5 linked regions of the Macaca fascicularis genome follow. The protein of the gene in region 1 interacts with the protein of each later gene in a biochemical or structural test. Links are inferred from orthologs where the notes say so. Each region holds a gene or a part of one and is shown in the gene's direction. Other genes may lie near its edges.

Region 1 (4,543 bases):
AAACTGGCCCTGTGTGGCTGTGGGCAGGCAGCTGACTCCCGCCAGCATCTCAGCAATCCCCAGGAGGTTCAGGCTGAAGCTCCAGCCCCTTCAAAGCTGTGTGTGGCCAGCTCTGTGCCCAGGAGTGTCTACAGCACTCTGGCTGCTGAAAGCTCAGGGATAAGGCCTGGCCTTCTCCGTCACCCCTCCTTCCTAGAGCGTCAGAGTAACTTAAATGTCTTTCTTCCATCCCCTCTTTAGGGTCGGATTCCAGTTAAATGGATGGCAATTGAATCTCTTTTTGATCATATCTACACCACCCAAAGTGATGTGTAAGTGTGGGTGTTGCTGTCTTGGGGTGGGGGTTACAGAAACACCCTTATATGTGTAGTCAGGCCACGGCACCCCATCCATGCAGTTTGGCCAGGGAATTGCGCTGGCCCTGAGCACCTGTCTGCAGTGTCAGCCCTCCACAATGACCCCCTCACTGAGGGGACTTCATGATGTATTCATGAGGCGAATGGCTGGGCCAGGCCAGCCTGCAGTTCTGAAAGCTCCAGTGGAGCATGAGAGCAGAGCAGGTGGCCAGTAACCCAGCCTCCCCCGCCCTTGCCAGCCCCACGCCTCCCTCTGGGCCCCTTGGTGACTCACAGGCCCAGCCCAGCAGTTACCCTCCTGTGGTCCTGAATAGGGCTTTGGGCTCAGGCAGAGTGCCCAGTGACTTGCCCCCACCCACAAGTGGAGCTTGGGGACTCCACCTGAAGATGGCCTTGTGTGAGTTTATAGATTGGTGTGCCCCAAACTGCTCAAAGGTGAAAGCCAAAAATTCATTATTCAGGTCCAGTGACAAGAGCTGATCGCTTTCAAAACACAGGATTCTTGCCTCTAAAGTGTTCTATAGTCAGCAGAGGTATGATGTGCATCTCTTTTTTTTTTTTTTTTTTTTTTTTTTTTTTGATGGGAGGATAGGGTCTCACTCTGTCACCCAGGTTGGAGTGCAGTGGCACAATACTGGCTCACTGCAACCTCCACCTCCCGAGTTTAAGCGATTCCTGTGCCTCAGCCTCCTGAGTAGCTGGGATTACAGGCACGCGCCACCTCTCCTGGCTCATTTTTTTGTATTTTTTAGTAGGGACAGGGTTTCACCATGTTGGTCATGCTGGTCTCGAATCCTGACCTCAAATGATCCGCCCACCTCAGCCTCCCAAAGTGCTGGGATTACAGGCGTGAGCCACCACACCTGGCCAACACGTGCATCTTAAATACTGTGGGCTGTGAGCAACTATTTGGACAACAGCTTCCCAATTACATAAGCTGAGTGTAGGCTAGTTGGAAAAGGCAGAGAGAAAAGCATAAAGAAGAGACTGAATGTCACTGGACCACACCGCACAGTGACTTCTGGCTGCCCTCTGGTGTGCTCTGTGGTGTGCACATGTATGCTTTTTATTGCCCTAAATGGGCTCATGCGATGCTGTTTTGTGATATGATATTGTTCCCATTGCACAGCAAGTTTTCCTTCACAGTTAAAATGTTTTTCTATAGCTTTTTTCCTTCTAAGATTTTACGAAATTTTCCAAGCACATAGAAATGGTGAAAGAACTATATAAGGCACTCTGAGTCTGGTGGTCTGCATTCTCACCCCTTTAAGTGCCAAACCTCATGTGCCCCTTGTGGGTGTGGCTGCTCCAATGGGAGTGGCTTGGGCAGGGACTTCAGCTTCATGGAGTAGGGGCCAGGCAGGCAGGCAGCCCTTCCGCACCTTCATACTACATCCATCTGAGCAACCAGACCCAGGCTGACATCTGTGAGCATCTGTGCTTGGGGCCGACAGGGTCAGCAGGTGCTTGGTGGTAGGGATTGACATCTGGGCCCCCCGGAGGGCACTGTGAGGGCCAGGTAGAACCACTCACTGGTCTTCTTGCTCTCTGCAGATGGTCTTTCGGTGTCCTGCTGTGGGAGATTGTGACCCTAGGGGGCAACCCCTATCCTGGGATTCCTCCTGAGCGGCTCTTCAACCTTCTGAAGACCGGCCACCGGATGGAGAGGCCAGACAACTGCAGCGAGGAGATGTGAGCGGGAACCGGCTTTGGCCCAGCCTCACTTGGGAAGGGAGGGGACACCTGTGTGCATTCCCTCCCCATCCAGAGCAGCCCCAGGAGAAACCAGGAGAAGTGGGGGCTGGGGAGTGGGCAGGGCAGAGGTTAGAGAGCCATCCTTGGGTGTTGCCGTAGATGCTGGGGGTCCTACCCTGCTGAGGGCTGGTGGGCTTGCTAGGGGCTCTTATAAAAATGAGCGAGAGCAGGGACTGGTACAATACAAGCTCGAAGGCTGAGAGCTGTCCCAGCATGACACTTGGGGAGGAGCTGGTAATTCCAAATGGCCCAGGGGGCACGTGTTAAGGGGTGCCTGAGCAGAGGTACAGAGCCAGGCAGGGGCAGCCTGGGCTGCAACCTGAGAGGTTGAAGCCTTTACACTCTTGGGAGAGATGGTCTTAGAAACCAGGCCGAGAACAGATGAGAAAGGGCTGCCCAGAGGCAGAGATGCTTGGTCCATGCATTCCATAGAGTGGGGCGTGGAGGGGGCATCCTGGGCCAAGAAGCCAGGCACCACCTCCCTGGGCCCCCAGCTGGTGGCCAGTTGGAGCACTGTGGTCTGCCTGGGCACCTAGCAAGCAAGGACAGTGCAGGACAGACATGTGATTGCCAAAGGTTCTTGTTTGTCTGTCTCCACACCTAAAAGCCTTCAGTCAATTCATCCTTCTTGAGAGTTTTAAGGACGGGCACTTATCACTTAGCTGCCAGAGCAGGCATAGTATCCAGTGAGCTGTTTACCAGTGTCTTTGCAAGGGAAGTAAAAATGAATCTCCCTTGGAGGGAAGGGAAGCCTATAGGATTCTGGACCACAGCTCTGGGAGACCTGAGCACAGTGGCCCATGGGCTGGGATCCTGCAGACAGGCCATGCCCCAGTCCCAGCAAGGCTCAGAGATGTCAGCGATGCAGAAATAGCTTTGGGGTTGGAAACAGAGCACACTGGGCCCAGGGTGCAGGGCAGGGTGAGGTGACTGTGGTGGGCTGTCCTTCCGAGACCTGGCCTTGCTTGGGTCACATTGGCCTGTCTGCTCTTCCCACCAGGTACCGCCTGATGCTGCAGTGCTGGAAGCAGGAGCCAGACAAAAGGCCAGTGTTTGCGGACATCAGCAAAGACCTGGAGAAGATGATGGTTAAGAGCAGAGTGAGTGCCTGGGGCCAATTCCCACCAGCTGAAAGTGGCATGGGAGACTCCAGCCTCACCCCAGGCAGTGGTTTTAGCCCTCAGAGTTCCCAGTGGGAGGCCACAGTGGGATTGTGCAGAGAGAGACAGTCATGCTCTCCCCTGCGTGCAGACAGCAGACCGAACCCTTCTCAGGCCAGGCTGCTTGGGCTTCTTTTCAAGTCATGAAGAAACCAAGATTCTTGACATTTAGGAAGAGCTCTCTACAGACAGGCATGGGAGGAAAATATTCCAAAGCCAAAAAAATTGTTTTCCATAATGGAAAATGAGAAAGTCGAGTTGAAGCAAGTGCCCAAAATTCAGATGCCCAGAGGGGAGCCCAGCTGGGGGAGGGCAGTGAGTAAGGAGCAGTGGAGACTGTGACAAACAGCCAGGCCCCTCCAAAAGGTTCCTTGCTGGGGGACCTGTGGCCTGCAGAGAAAGGAGCCAGGAATGGACCGGGTCTTCTGAATTTTACGAGGTTTATGTTGTCTCCCAGTTTTTATTGTTAACAATTCATTTAAATTTCCCAGAGCCGAATGTAGGCAAAACAAAGCTTATCGGGGGGTGACCAGAGTCAGCCCGCGTGCCTGGAAGTACAGTTTGTGAGTTCTACACATTTTCAACCAGTTTCATCAGGCAGCTGCTAGGACCCGTACTGTGTCTCAGAGGCTGGGAATCCAAATAAACAAGACCAGCACAGCCCTGTCCTCAAGGGGTTTACACACAGACCTTGTCTTAACATTGGCACATTTACTGAATTGTCACTTCTTCAGACTTGGATAGCAGGATGCAGGACCTAGGACCCCGTAGGAACACTTCACATCACTGTCTCGCTTGGATGAAAACTCCCAAGTCCTGAGAATGCAGGGTTGTTCTAAACAGAAGTGATCACTGGTTCTGGCCTTCCTAGAACAGTGCTGAGAAACAGCCAGGAAAACACTGGGCCCCTCTGTGCACATTCAAGCTGGGCATTGAAAGGAGCAGATGCAAGTGGCCCCTCATGCTGGGGAGCCTGTGCCTGTAGCAGGGTCATGTGCACCCTGACAGCACTGTCAGATTTCAGAAGTCTCAGCCCTGACGTGATGTTCTAGATGACAGGGATCCTTGGGGAAAGCTGGAAAACATCCTGCAGGCTGGGGCTGCATCCTGGCATGTCGCTGCAGTGGGCTCCCCCAGAGCCCAAGGGTTTGTCAGCGGGCCAGTTCCCTGCCACCCGTCTCCGAGTTGGGCCAGGGGCAGCTGGATGAGGCATCCCCTGGGGCTGCCCTCCAAGCCCTGGAGATAGGACCCTGAGGGAGCACATTTCTGTCC
Region 2 (4,013 bases), on another chromosome or scaffold:
GCGAAAGGATCAATTTGGGTTTCACTGACCTCAAGTTTCTAAAGCTTTTAACCAAGAAGCCTCAATCACCACGTTGGGAGCTGACACTGACACTGGATCAAGATCATTGGTGGTACTGGGGTATGTTCTTGAAGCTCAACCTGTGCATTTGATGTAGAAAGCCCAGATCACTTTGATGTGGGTGGCAAAGCACCACCTCTTTAACAAAAAACTTAAGGGAGGCTGGGATCAGATCTCTCGTAAGATACACCCTTATGTTAAGAGAATTTAGACACATTATTTAGAGACATCCCATTTCTCAATCCAAATGCGAGCAGAAAACTATAGGAGAAGGATATTTTCCCTCATTTGGTGTCCCGGAATGTGACTCCCTGAAGGGAGCCATTCTGGGGACAATTGGAGGGTGTAGTGTGCGTGTGCACACATGCATTTGTGTGCCTGGTGTGCGTGTGGGGGTTGGCACACTCTCTAGAAGTGGACCCTTTGGGATGGCCTAGCTTCTTCTGCTGGTGGATGAAGATTTGCTCCTTGCTCCTAGGCATGAGCTTGAAGGGGGTTCATGAAGGGTGTTTAGGAAGTTGTTCAAGGAAGACTGTCAGAGGAAACTGCGAACTGGGCTGAAGAAAAACAACCAGAAAACACAGAAGGAGCTCTCAGCCACTGTGCCTTCAAAAAGAGAGAAAAGTCAGTTCAGGGAGGTGGCTTCCAGCTGACCTCACCCACCTCAGGAGGGGTCATTCCAACCTAGGGTGCTGAGAATCCGGGTGGGATTACCAACAAAGCTAGAGAACCGTGGGTCAGCGAGCCTTAGGAAGAAGTGGAAAGGAATCTTAACTTATCTGCAATAGCCTTCCTATGAGAAGTTGTGGCTAACACATGCCTAATGGCTAGAATTAAATGCTGGGAATATAACGGGCTCAACACAGGTCATCCGCGTGTCAAATGTTCCTGCTGTTTTCTACATTGGGGACATTTCCTAGCCTATTCCCAAGCTCATTTAGAAGGGAAGCGGAGGTGCCCCGCCTTACTGGGCGGCGTCCCCTCCAGCGGCTGCCCGGGCCCTGGGCCTGCGCTCCCTCGCGGTGGCGCCAGGTGGCGGGGCTGCGCGCCCTGGAGGAGCTGCGCCTCAGTCGCGGGGCTCTCTCAGCACTGAGGACACCACGCCCTGCAAACTGTTGGGAACTTATCTGTAGCAATCACACTGCTGGCTCCTGTAAACTGGTGTGAGGCCCTCAGGGGTGAGAACAGGATTGCAGAACTGCGCTTACCCTTTTGGAAACTCGTCCAGTGGCAGGAGCAGCCTCCCAGGAGCAGAGCAGACCTGCTCGGTGGTCCCCTCGCCAACCAGGGACCCAAGAAGCCGCTCAAGGAAACACGGTCCCGCGGTGTCCGGGAGGTCCTGTAAGAGCCCTGTAGCTGCCCGGGTTCTGTGAAATGTCAGTGAGGGTGGGGGAGATCTGCGCGAAATCCTGGGAATATGCGAGTCATAACACTTCAGGAGAGGAGCCTAGGGTGCTGGTCCTGCAGGGCGTGGAACCCTCTGCTTTTCCTGAGCAGGCCTTTTCCCTGGGTCGACACGTGGAGCTCAGTGTGAGGCCCTCCTGCAGAGTGGACGCGGATCTTTATGGTCTGCGTTTCTATATTAGCCTCAGCAGCCTGATGACACCTTTATGAAAGGTTGAAACACGATAAATTACCAATATTCCATGTTTTATGTATTCCCCCCAAAGCCGACAATTAAACATGATTCACCAAACAGCAAATACTTTGCATACATCCATTATTGAATTAGTAAAATCCATGTGATGGAGGATGTGCAAACTGCAAATCGTTAACGCTTTAGAACTACATATTTCTGTATTGCCCTGGAAAGAACTGTACACAAATGAATATTCCCTGTCTTTTTAATTTTTACGGACGGAGTGTATGGGCCACATGCAAGTTAGGGGCTGATCTGCTGATTTTGCTGCCACTAGAGCAGAGGGATAGTGAAAGCGGGGCTGAGCGCAGCACCGACCAATCTCATCGCCGCGCTTGCCCCGCGTGGAGGGAGCCGAGTGCCCGAACCTGAGGGAGAGACCTGGTACTAGAATGGCCCGCGGACCCCGGCGTCTCCCGGGGCACGGGGGTTGAGCGCGATCGCCCGCGTTTTACGGCTAGGGAAACTGAGGCGGCCACCGAGGGGACGCCTCGAAACCATTCCGGCGAGAGCTGGCGGCGGCCTTGCTCTGCGAGCTCTTCGCGCCACTCGCCCTCCCCGCCCGCCCGCCGGCCTCAGGATTGAGGAAGTGCGTCTGGGCCCGGCCCCGGCGCGCGGCCCGAGGCGCGGGGGGCAGACGGCTGTGGGACGGCCAGGCCCCGGCCCGCCAGTGTCCGCCCAGCCCCGCGTCCCGGAGCGTCCGTACCCGGGCCCCGCCGCCGCCGCAGGTAAGTGCTGTTCCTCTCCGCGCCCCCCAGGGACCTGGTTGCCTCCTGCGGCCGGCCCGGGAATCCGGAGCCCGCGCCCGCGTCCGCGGGGAGCCCTGGCCTCTGCCTGCCGCGGGCCTGCGCTCCAGGCGGCCGCATGGTCGGACATGGGTGGCCGTTGCGCAGGGGCCGCAGCCCGAGGGGCGCGGAGGGCGTGTGGGGTGACCCCCAGTCTCACGTCCCGGCTGCCTCCTGCCACGCCCGTAGCCCAGCCAACCTGTGGTAGGGGGGTGTGCGGGCCCGAGCGGGGAACCCCGAAACCCCGTATGGGACAGGGTCGGGAACGCTGGGAAGCAGAGGCAAGAAACACAAGCAGGCAAATACACCAGGGCGTCCATATATTTCCTCTCCCTTTGGAGAAAACCCCGTCCTTTAACGGGGAGCGGGCGGAGAGTGAGCGCGCGGTTGTGCCTGTGCCAGGGTGTTGACAAGAGACAGTCCAGGAGTCTCTCACTGCTCCAGGGCTTCCTGGTGTTGCGGGGTGGCCCAGCGAGGCTTCACCCTCCTCAATGTCTGGGTTATGCTTCTTGCCCAGGTGTCTTCTGGCTGGTACAGATACAACTGCTATGTCTGCCATGGTCTCTGCAACCTACGCAGGACCTTCCCGGCAGGCAGGGAGGCAGGCGAGGAAGCCTAGTAAGGCCGGGGTCAGCCGGGAGCCGATGGTGGAGAATATAAAGACCCCTGTGGCCATTTCAACCTACCCCTTCACAGTTTGAGGCCACGAAATTTTTCTCCCACAAACACAACCCCTGCAACAGGTAGAGAAACAGGGGCATATAGCTTTTAGCAAACCTCTCACCATGTACACTAATTTTAGAGTTTGCCACTCACTCGCAGGGTATCAAAATGCCCAGACATTAAAGGGACAGCTAGAACATGCACAATTTTGGAAAATGTTAAGTTAAATGTCTTTTATGATTTGATTTTCTTCATCTGTGCCTATGTCCTGAAAGAGAAAATAGTATAACAAACTAACCTCACACCTAATTTGTTCCTAAAGGAGGTTTTGCTGTCAGCCAAACCTTTCCTTCTCCCAAATGTCAATGTCTCAGGGAGTGACCTCACAATCAACTCAGATGCTCAGATCAAAAACATTCAGTCTGTGGATCTACGTCTAAAATGTGTCCTGGTCTGTCCCCTTTTTTCTTATGTCCCCCACCCCTTGTCCCGGGTACCAGCATCTCTTTACTGTAGGATTACAGTTCCCCCTCCCTCCATTCTCTATATAGCAGCGTGTGTGTGTGTGTGTGTGTGTGTGTGTGTGTGTGTGTGTGTGTGTTTAAATGGGTAAATAGGACTATATCAGTCCTCTGTATGGAATCCTTCAGTAGCTTCTCCTTGCCATTGGCATGCGATCCAGGAGACCTCCTTCTCCTTACACCCCCAGCTGATCCAGCCTCTGCTATCTCAGACCACCAGGCCATTGCCCCCAGCCACCCTGACTGAGCTCACTGTCCAGCACTGGGCCCCTGCACTGCTGCCTCCCGACTCTTCACATAGCCTCAGAAAGCCTTCCCTGGTCACCCTCTTAAAACCCACACTCT
Region 3 (4,543 bases), on another chromosome or scaffold:
GGACTCCATTCATTGAACAAGCACTCTCGGAGAATGCCTTTTTTTTTTTTTTGAGACGGAGTCTCGTTTGTCACCCAGGCTGGAGTACAGTGTCCCAATCTCAGCTCACTGCAAGCTCTGCCTCCTGGGTGCAAGCGATTCTCCTGCTTCAGCCTTCTGAGTAGCTGGGACTACAGGCACATGCACATGCCACCACACCTGGCTAAATTTTTGTATTTTTAGTAGAGATGGGGTTTCACCGTGTTAGCCAAGATGGTCTCAATCTCCTGACCTTGTGATCCGCCCATCTCGGCCTCCCAAAGTGCTGGGATTACAGGCGTGAGCCACCGCGCCTGGCCGAGAATGCCTTTTTGAGCGCCTGGCCAGGTGAACAGGACAGGCAGAAGCGCCCTCGCTGGGCTGGTGTTCTAGCCAAATATCCTGTGACAGACCCTGTGAGCTAGTACCAGCCAGCCACACTGTTGCTGGTTTTGCTAGCCAGTGTAAAAGGGTGTGATCTGGTGATGGAGAAGCTTTTGGGTTTCGAAGCCTGGGCCTCTTTTATTGTGCCAGTGTGTCCTTTCATTCAGAGACCTTTTCCCCGTGAGTGGATCTAAAATTCCTGAATGGAAAACATGACTTGGAACTATTCGCAGTTACGAGAGAATTGTTGAAAGTATTTCCAGCCCTCCTCACCTTCTTCCTGCATATAACATTTTAATTATTTTTTTATTCAAAGGAAGTTAAGTCACACTTCTTTGTCTTAAGTAAGGCTGTTTTATTTGTTAGGGTTCAGGGCACATGGACTGTTTTTTTCTTTTTTTTTGAGACAGAGTTTCACTCTTGTTACCCAGGCTGGAGTGCAGTGGCGCAATCTCAGCTCACTGCAACCTCCGCCTCCTGGGTTCAAGTGATTCTCCTGCCTTGGTGTCCCGAGTAGCCGGGATTACAGGCATGCACCACCACGCCCAGCTACTTTTGTATTTTTAGTAGAGATGGGGTTTCTCCATGTTGATCAGGCTGGTCTCGAAATCCCAACCTCAAGTGATCTGCCCGCCTTGGCCTCCAAAGTGTTGGGATTACAGGTGTGAGCCACCGTGCCCAGCCTGGACTCTTTATCTTACAAACATCTTCAGAATGAGAGTGACTGATGGCCTGTCCCTGTTTGGTTTCTTCATGTTGTCCTGGTGCCCATCAGTCATAGGGAGGGGTCTGTTCCAGGGACACGCAGTGAGGAAGCTTGTTACTCTGCAGTCCCTGAGGAGTGCTGCCGGGACAGTGGTTCTCTCAGGATATCGCTTATATGGGCAGATAGCCTTCGATTTGCCAGGTTAGAGCCTTTAGCCGGTCCATGTGCTCTCTGTCCCTCCCAGGTTTGGAAACGATGTGCAGCACTTCAAGGTGCTCCGAGACGGAGCCGGCAAGTACTTCCTCTGGGTGGTGAAGTTCAATTCTTTGAATGAGCTGGTGGATTATCACAGATCTACATCTGTCTCCAGAAACCAGCAGATATTCCTGCGGGACATAGAACAGGTGCCACAGGTAAGCCTCATCAGGGTGAGATGGGATCATTTTAGAAATTAAGAATAGCTCCTCAGTGTGCATTCCTGTGGGAAGGGGGAGGTGACCCTCAATCAACATGCAGGCGCCCTTCAGGGATTGCCACTGGGGCTTCTGTGCTCGTTACTGAACACGTTACCTTCCATTCACACTAAAAATTTCTTGTTTCTGGCCCAGCGTAGTAGCTCATGCCAGTAATCCCAGCACTTTGGGAGGCTGAGGCAGGCAGATCACTTGAGGTCAGGAGCTTGAGACCAGCCTGGCCAACATGGTGAAACCCTGTCTCTACTAAAAATACAGAAATTAGCCAGATGTGGTGGCGCCCACCTGCGCTTGGGAAGCTGAGATGGAAAAATCGCTTGAACCCAGGAGGTGGAGGTCACAGTGAGCTGAGATTGTACCACCGCACTCCAACCTGGGTGACAGAGGGAGACTCCATCTCAAAAAAAAAAAGAAAAAGAAAAAGAAAGATTTGTTGTTTTAAATATAGGATTTTTGCTTTTCCAGAGGCAGTGTGTAGCCAGCTTGCCAGTCTCTCTAGGGAGATGGTCTTTAACACACCCACCCAAAGATCCTGTCCCTGGAGGCAAATTATGAGGAAAACTATGCTTGTGAGGGAGTGAGGTCGGCACCGTTCCTGTCCCTCGAGCCCTGGTCATAAGTTACAGTTAGAGTCCCTTATGTTATGCGAGCTCCAGAATTTTAGGCTCTAATATCTTAAGGGTGTGGTAGAAGGGATTTGCAGATTCTGGGCCCACAGCCTAAACACAGACGGCTGTTTCTGAAGAACTTTCCCCTCCAAGCACTGCCTGCCCTCTACTTGATAATATGGCACAGTTGGCCACCCTCCTCTGGGAGACATACTCTAGCATTTTCTGAGCACTGGGAAAGATCACACTAAACCCGCTTGGCCTGTAAACTTAGAAGAGGTAAGAATAAATGGGGGGTTGGGAGATGGGAGGTGAGTTTAGAAAACATGGAGAATTTGGCACGCATTCGTTTCCCCCTGGAACCCGTCTGGCCTCGGAGGTGGCCGGCCACAGACCAGGAATGCAATATGGGTTTTTCCTGCTCCTGTTTTGCAGCAGCCGACATACGTCCAGGCCCTCTTTGACTTTGATCCTCAGGAGGATGGAGAGCTGGGCTTCCGCCGGGGAGATTTTATCCATGTCATGGATAACTCAGACCCCAACTGGTGGAAAGGAGCTTGCCACGGGCAGACCGGCATGTTTCCCCGCAATTACGTCACCCCCGTGAACCGGAACGTCTAAGAATCAAGAAGCAATTATTTAAAGAAAGTGAAAAATGTAAAACACATACAAAAGAATTAAACCCACAAGCTGCCACTAACAGCAGCCTGTGAGGGAGTGCAGAACACCTGGCCGGGTCACCCTGTGACCCTCTCACTTTGGTTGGAACTTTAGGGGGTGGGAGGGGGTGTTGGATTTAAAAATGCCAAAACTTACCTATAAATTAAGAAGAGTTTTTATTACAAATTTTCACTGCTGCTCCTCTTTCCCCTCCTTTGCCCTTTTTTTCATCCTTTTTTCTCTTCTGTCCATCAGTGCATGACGTTTAAGGCCACGTATAGTCCTAGCTGACGCCAATAATAAAAGACAAGAAACCAAGTGGGCTGGTATTCTCTCTATGCAAAATGTCTGTTTTAGTTGGAATGACTGAAAGAAGAACCACTCTTTCTGTGTTCTTCGTATATACACACAAAAAGGAGCGGGCAGGGCAGCTCGACACCTTTGCTGTTTAACTTCCTCCAGAGGAGGGGGCTTGTAGGAATCTGCCTTCCAGCCCAGACCCCCAGTGTATTTTGTCCAAGTTGGCAGTAGAGTGGGGTAGAAGGAAAGCATGTCGCTGCCTCCATGGCTTCCCTAGAAAGCCTGCCTGGGCCGGGCAGCGTGGTGGCTCACGCCTGTAATCCCAGCACTTTGGGAGGCCAAGGTGGGTGGATCACAAAGTCAGGAGTTCGAGACCAACCTAGCCAACATGGCAAAACCCTGTCTGTACTAAAAATACAAAAATTAGCTGGGTGTGGTGGCATGCGCCTGTAATCCCAGCTACTCGGGAGCCTGAGGCAGGAGAATCACTTGAACCTGGGAGGTGGAGGTTGCAGTGAGCCGAGACCATGCCATTGTACTCCAGCCTGGGTGACAGAGCGAGGCTCCATCTCAAAAAAAAAAAAAAAAAGCCCTCCCAACAGCCTGTCTCTTTCCACTTTGTTGGCCCTTCCAGTGGGATTATCGAGCATGTTGTTTTTTCATAGTGCCTTTTTCCTTATTTCGAGGGTTGCTTCTGAGTGGTGGTGTTTTTTGTTTTTGTTTTTGTTTTTAATTTGTTTTGTTTTAAAATAAGTTAAAGACAGTCCAGAGCTTTTCAGCCAATTTGTCTCCTACTCTGTGTAAATATTTTTCCCTTGGGGCAGGGTAGAGCAAGGGAGACAAGCAGGAGTACAAGGTGAAGCATTCTCCTGCTTGTACTAAGCCAGGAGGCTTTAAGCTCCAGCTTTAAGGTGTGTGAGCCCCTTGGGGGTTCAGGGAACTGCTTGTCCAGGTTGCAGTGTGAGTGTGACGGGCCACCGGGGCAAGAGGGAAGGTGACCACCCAGCTCTCCCACATCCCACTGGATCTGGCTTACAGGGGGTTGGAAGCCTGTCCTCACTGTCTCAGGGGTTGTGGCCCCCACCCCATCACTATATGCACCCCTGGAACCAGCAAGCCCCAGACAAGGAGAGCGAAGGAGGAAGTCATGGGAACGCAGCCTCCAGTTGTAGCAGGTTTCACCTTATTCCTATGCTGGAGTGCACAATGAGAGTACTCACTTCTCACCTGTCTTGCTCTTAGATTGGGCTGTGGCTTTCATCCTGTGTCCTCTGACCTGTCCAGATGAGCGTGAGGGCAGCATTGGGAAGCCAGAGTGCTGCTTGTGCCTCCCTTGCCAGTGGGCTGTGTTGACTGCTGCTCCCCACCCCTACAGATGGTCCCAGGAAGCAGGG
Region 4 (4,543 bases), on another chromosome or scaffold:
TCAAACATTAGGATGTTGTTTCCATCATAAAAACGGCTTTTTAATCCCTCCCTTCCCTTTCCAAAAATACCTGCTGCATGGAGGTGCTGTAAATGTGAATTAGCCTAATAATCTTCATCAGTTTTGAACTGTCTTTAAAAGAGGCTTTGCTTGTGTGCACGAAGGTGTATATTTGTATTTCACTCTTAAACTTTTTACTGCTACTTAAAGTAAGCCATACTTTTTACTCAAAGACCCAGCATACACAAACATATCTAAATAGAGATTTGATAAAAACCCTTGTTATATAGTTTTCCTTTTGATTAACTTTTTTAATCTTCTGAAATGCTTGAATATACTTAATGAAACAGGAGAGTATTTTTTTTCTTCTTTACAGTATAACCATAGTTTGCTAATGTATCTCCACTCATGGAGAACTCTGAAAAATAAGCCCTGTTCTCTAAACTTACCTCTGCTCTCTTTTGTCCCTGCTATCACTATTCATTTCCCACCTGCAATCTTTATTCCTCACCCCAACCCCCTTTTCTCTTCCTAGGCTGCATATCTGGTTGGTGTCTCTGACCCCAATAGTCAAGCTGGACAGCAAGGGCTGGTGGAGCCCACACAGTTTGCCCGTGCAAACCAGGCAATTCAGATGGCCTGCCACAGTTTGGGAGAGCCTGGCTGTACCCAGGCCCAGGTAACTCAAGGGAATAGGGACCACAGGCAAGTCTGGGAAAGGGCAGACCAACCCCGTGGAGTAGAGGGAGGTGAGGCATGTGGGAAAGAAGGCAGGGACCCATCTCTGACCTTGCACACAAGGCTTCTCTTTGAGTAACTATCTTTTTCTGCCATGGGTCTCATCATTTTTCAGTTACTGCTAAATTCACAACTTCTCTGTAGATGTTCGAGCTTACTCTCCCACCAGCCCTCTTATGGCTTCTCCGTTAGTATGTCTTTCCTCTCCCATGCCCAGTTCATCTTTGGGTGTCTCTGTCTCCTAGATCTTGACTTTTCAGGTGACTCTGTTTTTCCTGTTTTGACTCCCCAGGGTATTGCTCTCCATCCTCTGACCCTAAAATGGCTCCTCCTTGGGTATGTACACCTCCTTCCTGCCCTCATTGTGGCTCTTCCACGTGTCTCCTCAGGTGCTCTCCGCAGCCACCATTGTGGCCAAACACACCTCTGCACTGTGTAACAGCTGTCGCCTGGCTTCTGCCCGTACCGCCAATCCTACTGCCAAGCGCCAGTTTGTACAGTCAGCCAAGGAGGTGGCCAACAGCACAGCTAATCTTGTCAAGACCATCAAGGTTCCCAGTGCTTGAATTCCCAGCCTCTCCCTGACCTGTCCGATCTTCTCTCCCGAGTCCCCCAGTTATTCTCTGAGGCCTTCTACCAAATCCCTTCTGCCTGAGCCCAAACTCTTTCTATCCAGACTGACCCCCTAGCCTCTCCCCAAATCCTTTAAGTCCTGGGAAGGAGACCTGGACTTCACTTCCTATACCCCCTATGCCTGCATCCCAAGTCCTGAGAGCCTCTCTGTCACTTCTAGGCGCTAGATGGGGCCTTCACAGAGGAGAACCGTGCCCAGTGCCGAGCAGCAACAGCCCCTCTGCTGGAGGCTGTGGACAATCTGAGTGCCTTTGCGTCCAACCCTGAGTTCTCCAGCATTCCTGCCCAGATCAGCCCTGAGGTGAGGCGATGTGAAGGGGGACCTGACAGGCCAGCTTATCACCTCATCTTCCAGGGAATCCTGAGACTTACCTTCCTGCCTCCCCTCTCCCCAGGGTCGGGCTGCCATGGAGCCCATTGTGATATCTGCCAAGACAATGTTAGAGAGTGCTGGGGGACTCATCCAGACAGCCCGGGCCCTCGCAGTCAATCCCCGGGACCCCCCGAGCTGGTCAGTGCTGGCCGGCCACTCCCGTACTGTCTCAGACTCCATCAAGAAGCTAATTACAAGCATGAGGTACTGAGGGGTGGAGAACCAGTGTGGCTGGGGGGCACACATTGTGGCAGAATGGAGGATGGGCACTTAAGTGCAATTAGATGGGATGGTGTTGGGAGGATATAGGGGAAGGATAGGCTGGCCTTGCACTAGGGGATGTTCTTGGTGTTGGAGCCCCTGATGTGTCTGCAGGGACAAGGCTCCAGGGCAGCTGGAGTGTGAAGCGGCCATTGCAGGTCTGAACAGTTGTCTACGGGACCTAGACCAGGCTTCCCTCGCTGCAGTCAGCCAGCAGCTTGCTCCCCGTGAGGGAATCTCTCAAGAGGTGAGGGGGAGAGGGTTATCTGGAAAGATGTGTCTAGGAAGAGAAATGTCATACTCAAAGAAGCTGGGGGATCATGGAGTGGCTTCTTAGGGACATCAAAGGGCTAGGATGTGCCAAGGAGGGTTAGGGTATTCAGTATGAAAGGAAGAGCAGTCCTGTGTAGCCAGAGGGTCCTATTGCAGGTCACGATCAGGGCTAAAGTCCACTTCCTCCCCAGGCCTTGCACACTCAGATGCTCACTGCAGTACAAGAGATCTCCCATCTCATTGAGCCACTGGCCAATGCTGCCCGGGCTGAAGCCTCCCAGCTGGGACACAAGGTACCTATGGAGACTCATGGGAAATCCCAGGGAGTAGGGTGAGAAAGAGGGGACCTGACCCCTAGTCCAACCCCTTGCCTCAGGTGTCCCAGATGGCCCAGTACTTTGAGCCGCTCACCCTGGCTGCAGTGGGTGCTGCCTCCAAGACCCTGAGCCACCCGCAGCAGATGGCGCTCCTGGACCAGACTAAAACATTGGCAGAATCTGCCCTGCAGTTGCTATACACTGCCAAGGAGGCTGGTGGTAACCCAAAGGTATTGAGGGTTGGGAGGGAGGAGCTGTTACTAGCAAGAGGCTGGAGAAACAGGAACAACAGAGCTCTTCTTCTCTCCCCACAGCAAGCAGCTCACACCCAGGAAGCCCTGGAGGAGGCTGTGCAGATGATGACAGAGGCCGTAGAGGACCTGACAACAACTCTCAACGAGGCAGCCAGTGCTGCCGGGGTCGTGGGTGGCATGGTGGACTCCATCACCCAGGCCATCAACCAGGTTAGAGTCTTGGGGTGCCTGTAGACACTGAGGCTACCCTGGGCCAGAGCCTCCAAGCACAGTGGCAGAGACCTTAACAGTCTTTCCCTGTCCCTGTCCTCCCCCTTCAGCTAGATGAAGGACCAATGGGTGAACCAGAAGGTTCCTTCGTGGATTACCAAACAACTATGGTGCGGACAGCCAAGGCCATTGCAGTGACCGTTCAGGAGATGGTGAGTTTGGGCGAGTGCCAGAGGACTGCCCTCGGAGAGCTGACTTTGGATATAACTTCACTCCTTCCATTATCACCAGGTTACCAAGTCAAACAGCAGCCCAGAGGAGCTGGGCCCTCTTGCTAACCAGCTGACCAGTGACTATGGCCGTCTGGCCTCGGAGGCCAAGCCTGCAGCGGTGGCTGCTGAAAATGAAGAGGTAAACGTGGAGGCAGCTCTGCCCTGCCCCCTGCCCCTTGTTCCTGATGTGTCAGCGTCTAGGGCTGTCCCACCCCCACCCTCTCTGGTCTTTCATAGAAAGGGGAACAACCTCAGGGCCACTCTGCTGAACACTAGTGAGGCTCTGGGTAGGGACAGAGGATCAAAGCCTTCTTCAGTCACGGGTACAAAGGAGACAGCTCAGAATCTGGAGCCTTCCTGGACCTGCCTCTTTGGCTTCTGCTGACCCTCATCTGGGCCTACGGCTGCTTCTGTGCTGTGCTGCCAGTCCATGTTCTTGTTCTTTCTTGCTGCAAGGCCATGAAGCTCTTCCTTACCTAAGCCTCTAGCTTTCCAAGAAACCAAGTAATTGGATCTTAGTAGGACACATGTAATCCCCATCCTCAAAACCCTCCATAACCCCATACAGGCCACATGGTAATCCATGGCCCTCTGATTCTAACACTCAAGCATAAAGTGCTCCTCCCCTCCTCCCCACTGTGCTTAACACAATCCTCACCACTTAGTGCCTGCATGCTACTATTTTCCATGTGTAGGAGGTTACCTCCTGTCTAAAGGACATGAAACCAGAAACGTCCTTGTGCTGGGAACTTTCTCTCTCTGCTGCTTTAATCTACGATGCATGTTTTTTCTATGTCCTTAGTGACTTTTCCAAGCACAGTGGTACCCTGAGTGCCCCTTGTAAAATCTCTCTCTCTTTCCCTCGGCTCACAGATAGGTTCCCATATCAAACACCGGGTACAGGAGCTGGGCCATGGCTGTGCCGCTCTGGTCACCAAGGCAGGCGCCCTGCAGTGCAGCCCCAGTGATGCCTACACCAAGAAGGAGCTCATAGAATGTGCCCGGAGAGTTTCTGAGAAGGTGACAATGCTCATCCCTGCAGATGGTGGGACTGCCTCCAAACTCTGTAGCCTTTGCCGTCCTCCTCCAGCCCTCTCAGCCCTCTCCTCTTGTCACTTCTCCCAGGCATGGGCAACCTTTCCATTTCACATGGCACCTTCCACAGTCACCACGTGACTTTCCCTACCCCAGGTCTCTCACGTCCTAGCTGCG
Region 5 (4,543 bases), on another chromosome or scaffold:
AGGAGATTGAGACTGTCGTGGCTAGCATGGTGAAACCCCGTCTCTACTGAAAATACAGAAAAATTGGCCAGGCGTGGTGGCAGGCGCCTGTAGTCCCAACTACTCAGGAGGCTGAGGCAGGAGAATGGCGTGAACCCGGGAGGCAGAGCTCGCAGTGAGCTGAGATTGCGCCACTGCGCTCCAGCCTGGGCGACAGAGCGAGACTCTGTCTCAAAAAAAAAAAAAAAAAAGCTTCCATCTCTGGGCCCTCTTTGGTCATCCTCCCCTTTCAAGTTCTTTCTCCTTTGTTTCTTGTTGTAGTCTTTTATTTACAAGAATTGAAATTTATTAATTTAAGGGCAAAATCATTTGCTGAGAGTATTATGGACTCATTCCTTAACATCTGGTTGATGCCAAATTCAAAAGAAGTATATAAAAATAAGTATTGACCTGAATTCCTCATGCTGTGTATCTTAAGACCTCTTATGAATTTGGTAGTACATAAAAGAGAGATTTAAATTTAGTTTCCTTCCTGACCTCGTCTCTATTCATAATGTTTAAAGAATAGAAAGTTGAACAAATCTTGCATTTGGTTGTAAAGCTACCATGAATTTCCCACCTGTTGCATCTCACATGTGATACTTTGCCCCTGCAGAGAGGTGCTTGGAAGACCACGAGCTGGTGGTCCAAGTGGAGAGTACCATGGCCGGTGAGAGTAAATTTCTATTCCGGAAGAATTATGCAAAATACGAGTTCTTTAAAAATCCCATGGTGAGTCTTACGTCTTCAGGTTTGGGGTTTGGGACTCTTGACATCTGGAAGTTTATACTTGGGTTTCATAGTATCAGATTAGAAAGTGACTGAGAGGCACGACGTAGCATATCGGTTTGAGAGTCAGAGTTGCAGTTTAATGAAGCAATCCTTGCTTGAAACCCAGTCTCGTGCTTCACTAAATGTGCCTGGGACTGGCTGAAGATAGAGGTCTCCTTCTTCAAATAGACACAGTGTAAAGGGGGTTAGTCTCTAAGACAGGAGCTGGGGGAGACTGGGCGTTTTCTGTTATTTTGAAAGTTCTCAGTTAAACTGATCAAACACTTAGCAGAAGAAAAACTCATTATTCTCTGCACACAGCAAACACATTTTGTGATCATACGTGGAAGAATGACTAGAGAAATCAGTGCGATTGGTGGTGTCTTGAGCTGGTCACCTTGATCTCTCTTCCCCTTTCTTTCTTTGGGAAAGAAGGCACTTGTCCTGTGAGAGGCCGGGATAGGGAGGGCACCTCCTAGCTCCTGGGGTACTTACTGTCGTCCTGAGTCATGGGGCAGAGCTGTGTCAGCTGGGGAGAAGACCCAGGGTCATTTCTGACTCTGATAATTTAGCTGCTTTTTTATTCCAGAGTGAGAAATTTGAAGACTGTTTTTGGGGAATGCAACAGAAAAGGCTTTTCTCGTGACTGGGCTTACCTTTTAGTTTCAGGAATTCTTTATCTCACTCTTTGCCATGGAGTATGCTGTGAGACATGCATCCCTTAGTAAACATAGGTGGTATTCCATACTCGTACCCAACATTTCAGGAAATGAAATACAACCTTTTGAAGGAGCTATTTCTTCTGTGTGATAGGAGAATAAAAAGGACTGCCATTTTAAATACAGGTGTACATAATTATATTGGTAGGAATAGTTTTAAAATTTACTTATCTATATGACATACCTTCCCTCACTTTGAAACTAACCTTTCACGTATTTGTTTTTTCCCATTTTCTTAGAATTTCTTCCCAGAACAGATGGTTACTTGGTGCCAGCAGTCAAATGGCAGTCAAAGCCAGCTTTTGCAGGTACTGGGCCAAAATAGACCTCTGCTGAAATAGACTTTCTGAATAGAAATCCTCTTGGAACTGAATGGCAACATTGTAAAAAACCTGAAGAGATTGCATCTTTCATCATTTATAACTTTGGCCCTTAAGGGGGTTTAGAGTAACCAGAAATTAAAAAGTTTACTTGGAAAATCTGTGTGTAGCTGGATTCCTGCTGAGCCAAACAGGCACTTACACACAGAATGCCCTTGCTCTGACTTAGAAGAGTCCAGTGATGCCACTGCTGAGTGTGGCCCGGGGGGTGCATGGAGAAACCCCAGTTTCAGGGCTCCCCAGCTCCTTTCTGAGCAGGGGTCCCAGGTCAGGCCACCGCCCAGCTGCTTGGAAATCTCTGCAGAAGCGCTGAGTCTATAGTAAAAGATGATTGGGTTACCACGACAGACTTTTACAAGTAACTTGCCATACATTACAAATAAAGAAACCTGCTTTAATTGTCCTAAAGTCTGTTCTGAGAAAATCTGGTCTCTCCCCACCTCCTCTTCCAGTGGAGGGAGCCACCAGGGCCTCTGTGCTCAGCTGTCACACACGCTCCTCCAGGGAAGCTGGGAGCGGGGAATGGGAATGTTACAGCTACACCCTAAAAATATGCCTGTGTACATGTCAAAAGTGAAAGAATGAATCATTTCCTAAGGCCACCAACAATATCCAAGTGACATATTACATGTAACAGAAACTACTAAAATATAGTTCCTACAGAATTCTGCTCATAAGCCCTTCTTTTGCTATGTTGTTATCACCAAATTTGTTTCAGCATCTAAAAGATAAGAGCTTCAGAGCTCTGTTCCGGTGGTGTCTTCAGAAGCCCTTCTGACCATAGCATGTGTCTGTTCTGGTGAGAGGTGTCAGTGCTAAGGTACCACCTGTACACCGTGAACAGTGAAATGGCACATTCTGTTTTAACTTGCCTTGACTTTGGGAGGACTCATGTGCTTTGTGAAGATATGCTGTGGTCTCTTGAGACTCAGGAAGGACTGACCCAGGTGCACTAGGGCTCTGTCCGACGTGCCTTTCCCACCTGGGGGAAAAGAGCTTTGTCCCCTCCCAGTCTAGTAGCAAGACCTGCCAACATCACCTCCCCAACTTTGCTCCGTGACCTGGCCCTCGGCCTGTCTTCCCTTTGATGAAAAGCATAGTTTCTTGTTTTGTTTTGTTTTGTTTTGATAAAGGCTTTATTCTTAAGGCTGCCTGTGGGAAAAGTTAAGTGGAACAGGGGGACATCACCAGGATGTCCTGCACCTGGGTTCATCACTTGCAGACAAATGACACCTTTTATGTGACCCTTGACTGGAGGGGTGCCTGGGTAAAAGTGGCCACTACATGCTCACTCTCAGTCCCCAGAGCCCCACTCACTCAGTCATGGCACTTGCTCTTGCCCTCAGTCTGATATCAGACTGGATCCTTCAGTGCACTCTCTTACAGGGAAATTCGTGACTTGTGTTATCACCAGTGTTAGAAAGGTCCATTTGCTTGCATGTGTTTAAATACGAATTATGTTCTATGCAGCACCAATTGAGATGGGATTTTAAGACTTTGGAAAGGAGAACACGCTCAGTTTGATCAAAAAAAGGAGTCTTTTAATAATTCAGAAAATGTCAGTTATGCTAATAACATGTCTGCTTTAATTATTTTAGATTAGCATTATGTAATTTTTAAAATTTGTTCTTCAACAGAATTTTCTGAACTCCAGTAGCTGTCCTGAAATTCAAGGGTTTTTGCATGTGAAAGAGCTGGGAAAGAAATCATGGAAAAAGCTGTATGTGTGTTTGCGGAGATCTGGCCTTTATTGCTCCACCAAGGGAACTTCAAAGGTGAGCTTTAAAACCTGCCACCACCAGCCCTGATTCTGCCCCCGTCACTGCCCCCGGGAGTCCTCAGAGTAAACCTAGGCTTCATTTTTAAATGCACCTTAGACTCCTCCAGGCTCAGGACAACTTCTTAATAAGCTAATTGTGCAACAGCTAAACTTGGAGTCACAGGTTTCCTGGTCTCCCTCAGAAACTAGGTAATAAATAATACATACCTAAGAACCCCACCTGCCCAGCCCCACCCCCACTGTGGGTTGGTAGCAGACCTCCCTGGCTGCCCTATCACTTCAGAGACTGGCCTAGTTCCCATAAGTTGGGATTTAAGCTAGCTGTAAAGATGTTTGATAGATGATTGCCACCCTAATGCCAGTGTAACTTTATGTATCAGATATTTTATGAAATAAATTTCAGGTTTGCATGTATCCGTAGTGAGAAGAAGGTGGGAGATGGAAAACAGCTGCAGGCCCTCAAAAGACAGCTGGTAGCACTGAGGGCTTAGGCTGGAGGCTCCTTCGCTCCCATGTACACTCTTGCCTGCTCTCTTCTCGTGCTGTCCACATACACCCTGTGGCAGGAGCCATGTCCATTCAACGTGGCTGAGCACTTACCATCTGAGGGCTACGGTCTCTTTTACTCTGGCCAGCAAAGGGGAAAGGGAGCTGGCGGGACCCTGGCACAGGTGTTGAGCATCAGGCCAACTCTGGGAAGTCAGCGGCTGCTGACGCATGGGCCAGAGAGAAGGGGGGTCATCTGCAGAGAGGGGCTTTGGTCTGACACAGGGCATGGTAGCGTCCTGACCTCTCAGCTGTGCTGTGTGGCCTGCTCAGAGTCCTCGTGTGTGCTGAAGTCGGGAGATTATTTCCTAGAGCAGGAAACAGAGCTA

What was found.
Region 2: the proteins of RET (region 1) and LRRK1 form a complex in vitro, tested with the Homo sapiens proteins (2 studies listed by BioGRID and IntAct, with this or other methods). The link is inferred for Macaca fascicularis from reciprocal best matches to the Homo sapiens genes RET and LRRK1.
Region 3: the proteins of RET (region 1) and GRB2 form a complex in vitro, tested with the Homo sapiens proteins (3 studies listed by BioGRID). The link is inferred for Macaca fascicularis from reciprocal best matches to the Homo sapiens genes RET and GRB2.
Region 4: the proteins of RET (region 1) and TLN1 interact in a surface display test, tested with the Homo sapiens proteins (2 studies listed by BioGRID and IntAct, with this or other methods). The link is inferred for Macaca fascicularis from reciprocal best matches to the Homo sapiens genes RET and TLN1.
Region 5: the proteins of RET (region 1) and GRB10 form a complex in vitro, tested with the Homo sapiens proteins (2 studies listed by BioGRID). The link is inferred for Macaca fascicularis from reciprocal best matches to the Homo sapiens genes RET and GRB10.

The regions. Positions count from the first base shown.
Region 1 is NC_088383.1:52,388,234-52,392,776, forward strand, and holds part of RET (proto-oncogene tyrosine-protein kinase receptor Ret), read left to right. Parts: intron 1-240; coding exon 241-311; intron 312-1,910; coding exon 1,911-2,048; intron 2,049-3,111; coding exon 3,112-3,211; intron 3,212-4,543. UniProt on the Homo sapiens protein: Receptor tyrosine-protein kinase involved in numerous cellular mechanisms including cell proliferation, neuronal navigation, cell migration, and cell differentiation in response to glia cell line-derived growth family factors (GDNF, NRTN, ARTN, PSPN and GDF15).
Region 2 is NC_088381.1:85,976,007-85,980,019, forward strand, and holds the start of LRRK1 (leucine-rich repeat serine/threonine-protein kinase 1), read left to right. Parts: upstream 1-1,213; 5' UTR 1,214-1,401; intron 1,402-2,018; exon of another isoform or gene 2,019-2,427; intron 2,428-4,013.
Region 3 is NC_088390.1:81,722,274-81,726,816, reverse strand, and holds part of GRB2 (growth factor receptor-bound protein 2), read left to right. Parts: intron 1-1,352; coding exon 1,353-1,521; intron 1,522-2,624; coding exon 2,625-2,810; 3' UTR 2,811-4,543. UniProt on the Homo sapiens protein: Non-enzymatic adapter protein that plays a pivotal role in precisely regulated signaling cascades from cell surface receptors to cellular responses, including signaling transduction and gene expression.
Region 4 is NC_088389.1:63,691,935-63,696,477, forward strand, and holds part of TLN1 (talin-1), read left to right. Parts: intron 1-535; coding exon 536-679; intron 680-1,127; coding exon 1,128-1,289; intron 1,290-1,531; coding exon 1,532-1,672; intron 1,673-1,766; coding exon 1,767-1,948; intron 1,949-2,119; coding exon 2,120-2,252; intron 2,253-2,469; coding exon 2,470-2,571; intron 2,572-2,654; coding exon 2,655-2,825; intron 2,826-2,909; coding exon 2,910-3,059; intron 3,060-3,169; coding exon 3,170-3,271; intron 3,272-3,350; coding exon 3,351-3,470; intron 3,471-4,204; coding exon 4,205-4,351; intron 4,352-4,522; coding exon 4,523-4,543. UniProt on the Homo sapiens protein: High molecular weight cytoskeletal protein concentrated at regions of cell-matrix and cell-cell contacts. Involved in connections of major cytoskeletal structures to the plasma membrane.
Region 5 is NC_088377.1:79,813,430-79,817,972, forward strand, and holds part of GRB10 (growth factor receptor-bound protein 10), read left to right. Parts: intron 1-634; coding exon 635-750; intron 751-1,747; coding exon 1,748-1,816; intron 1,817-3,525; coding exon 3,526-3,663; intron 3,664-4,543.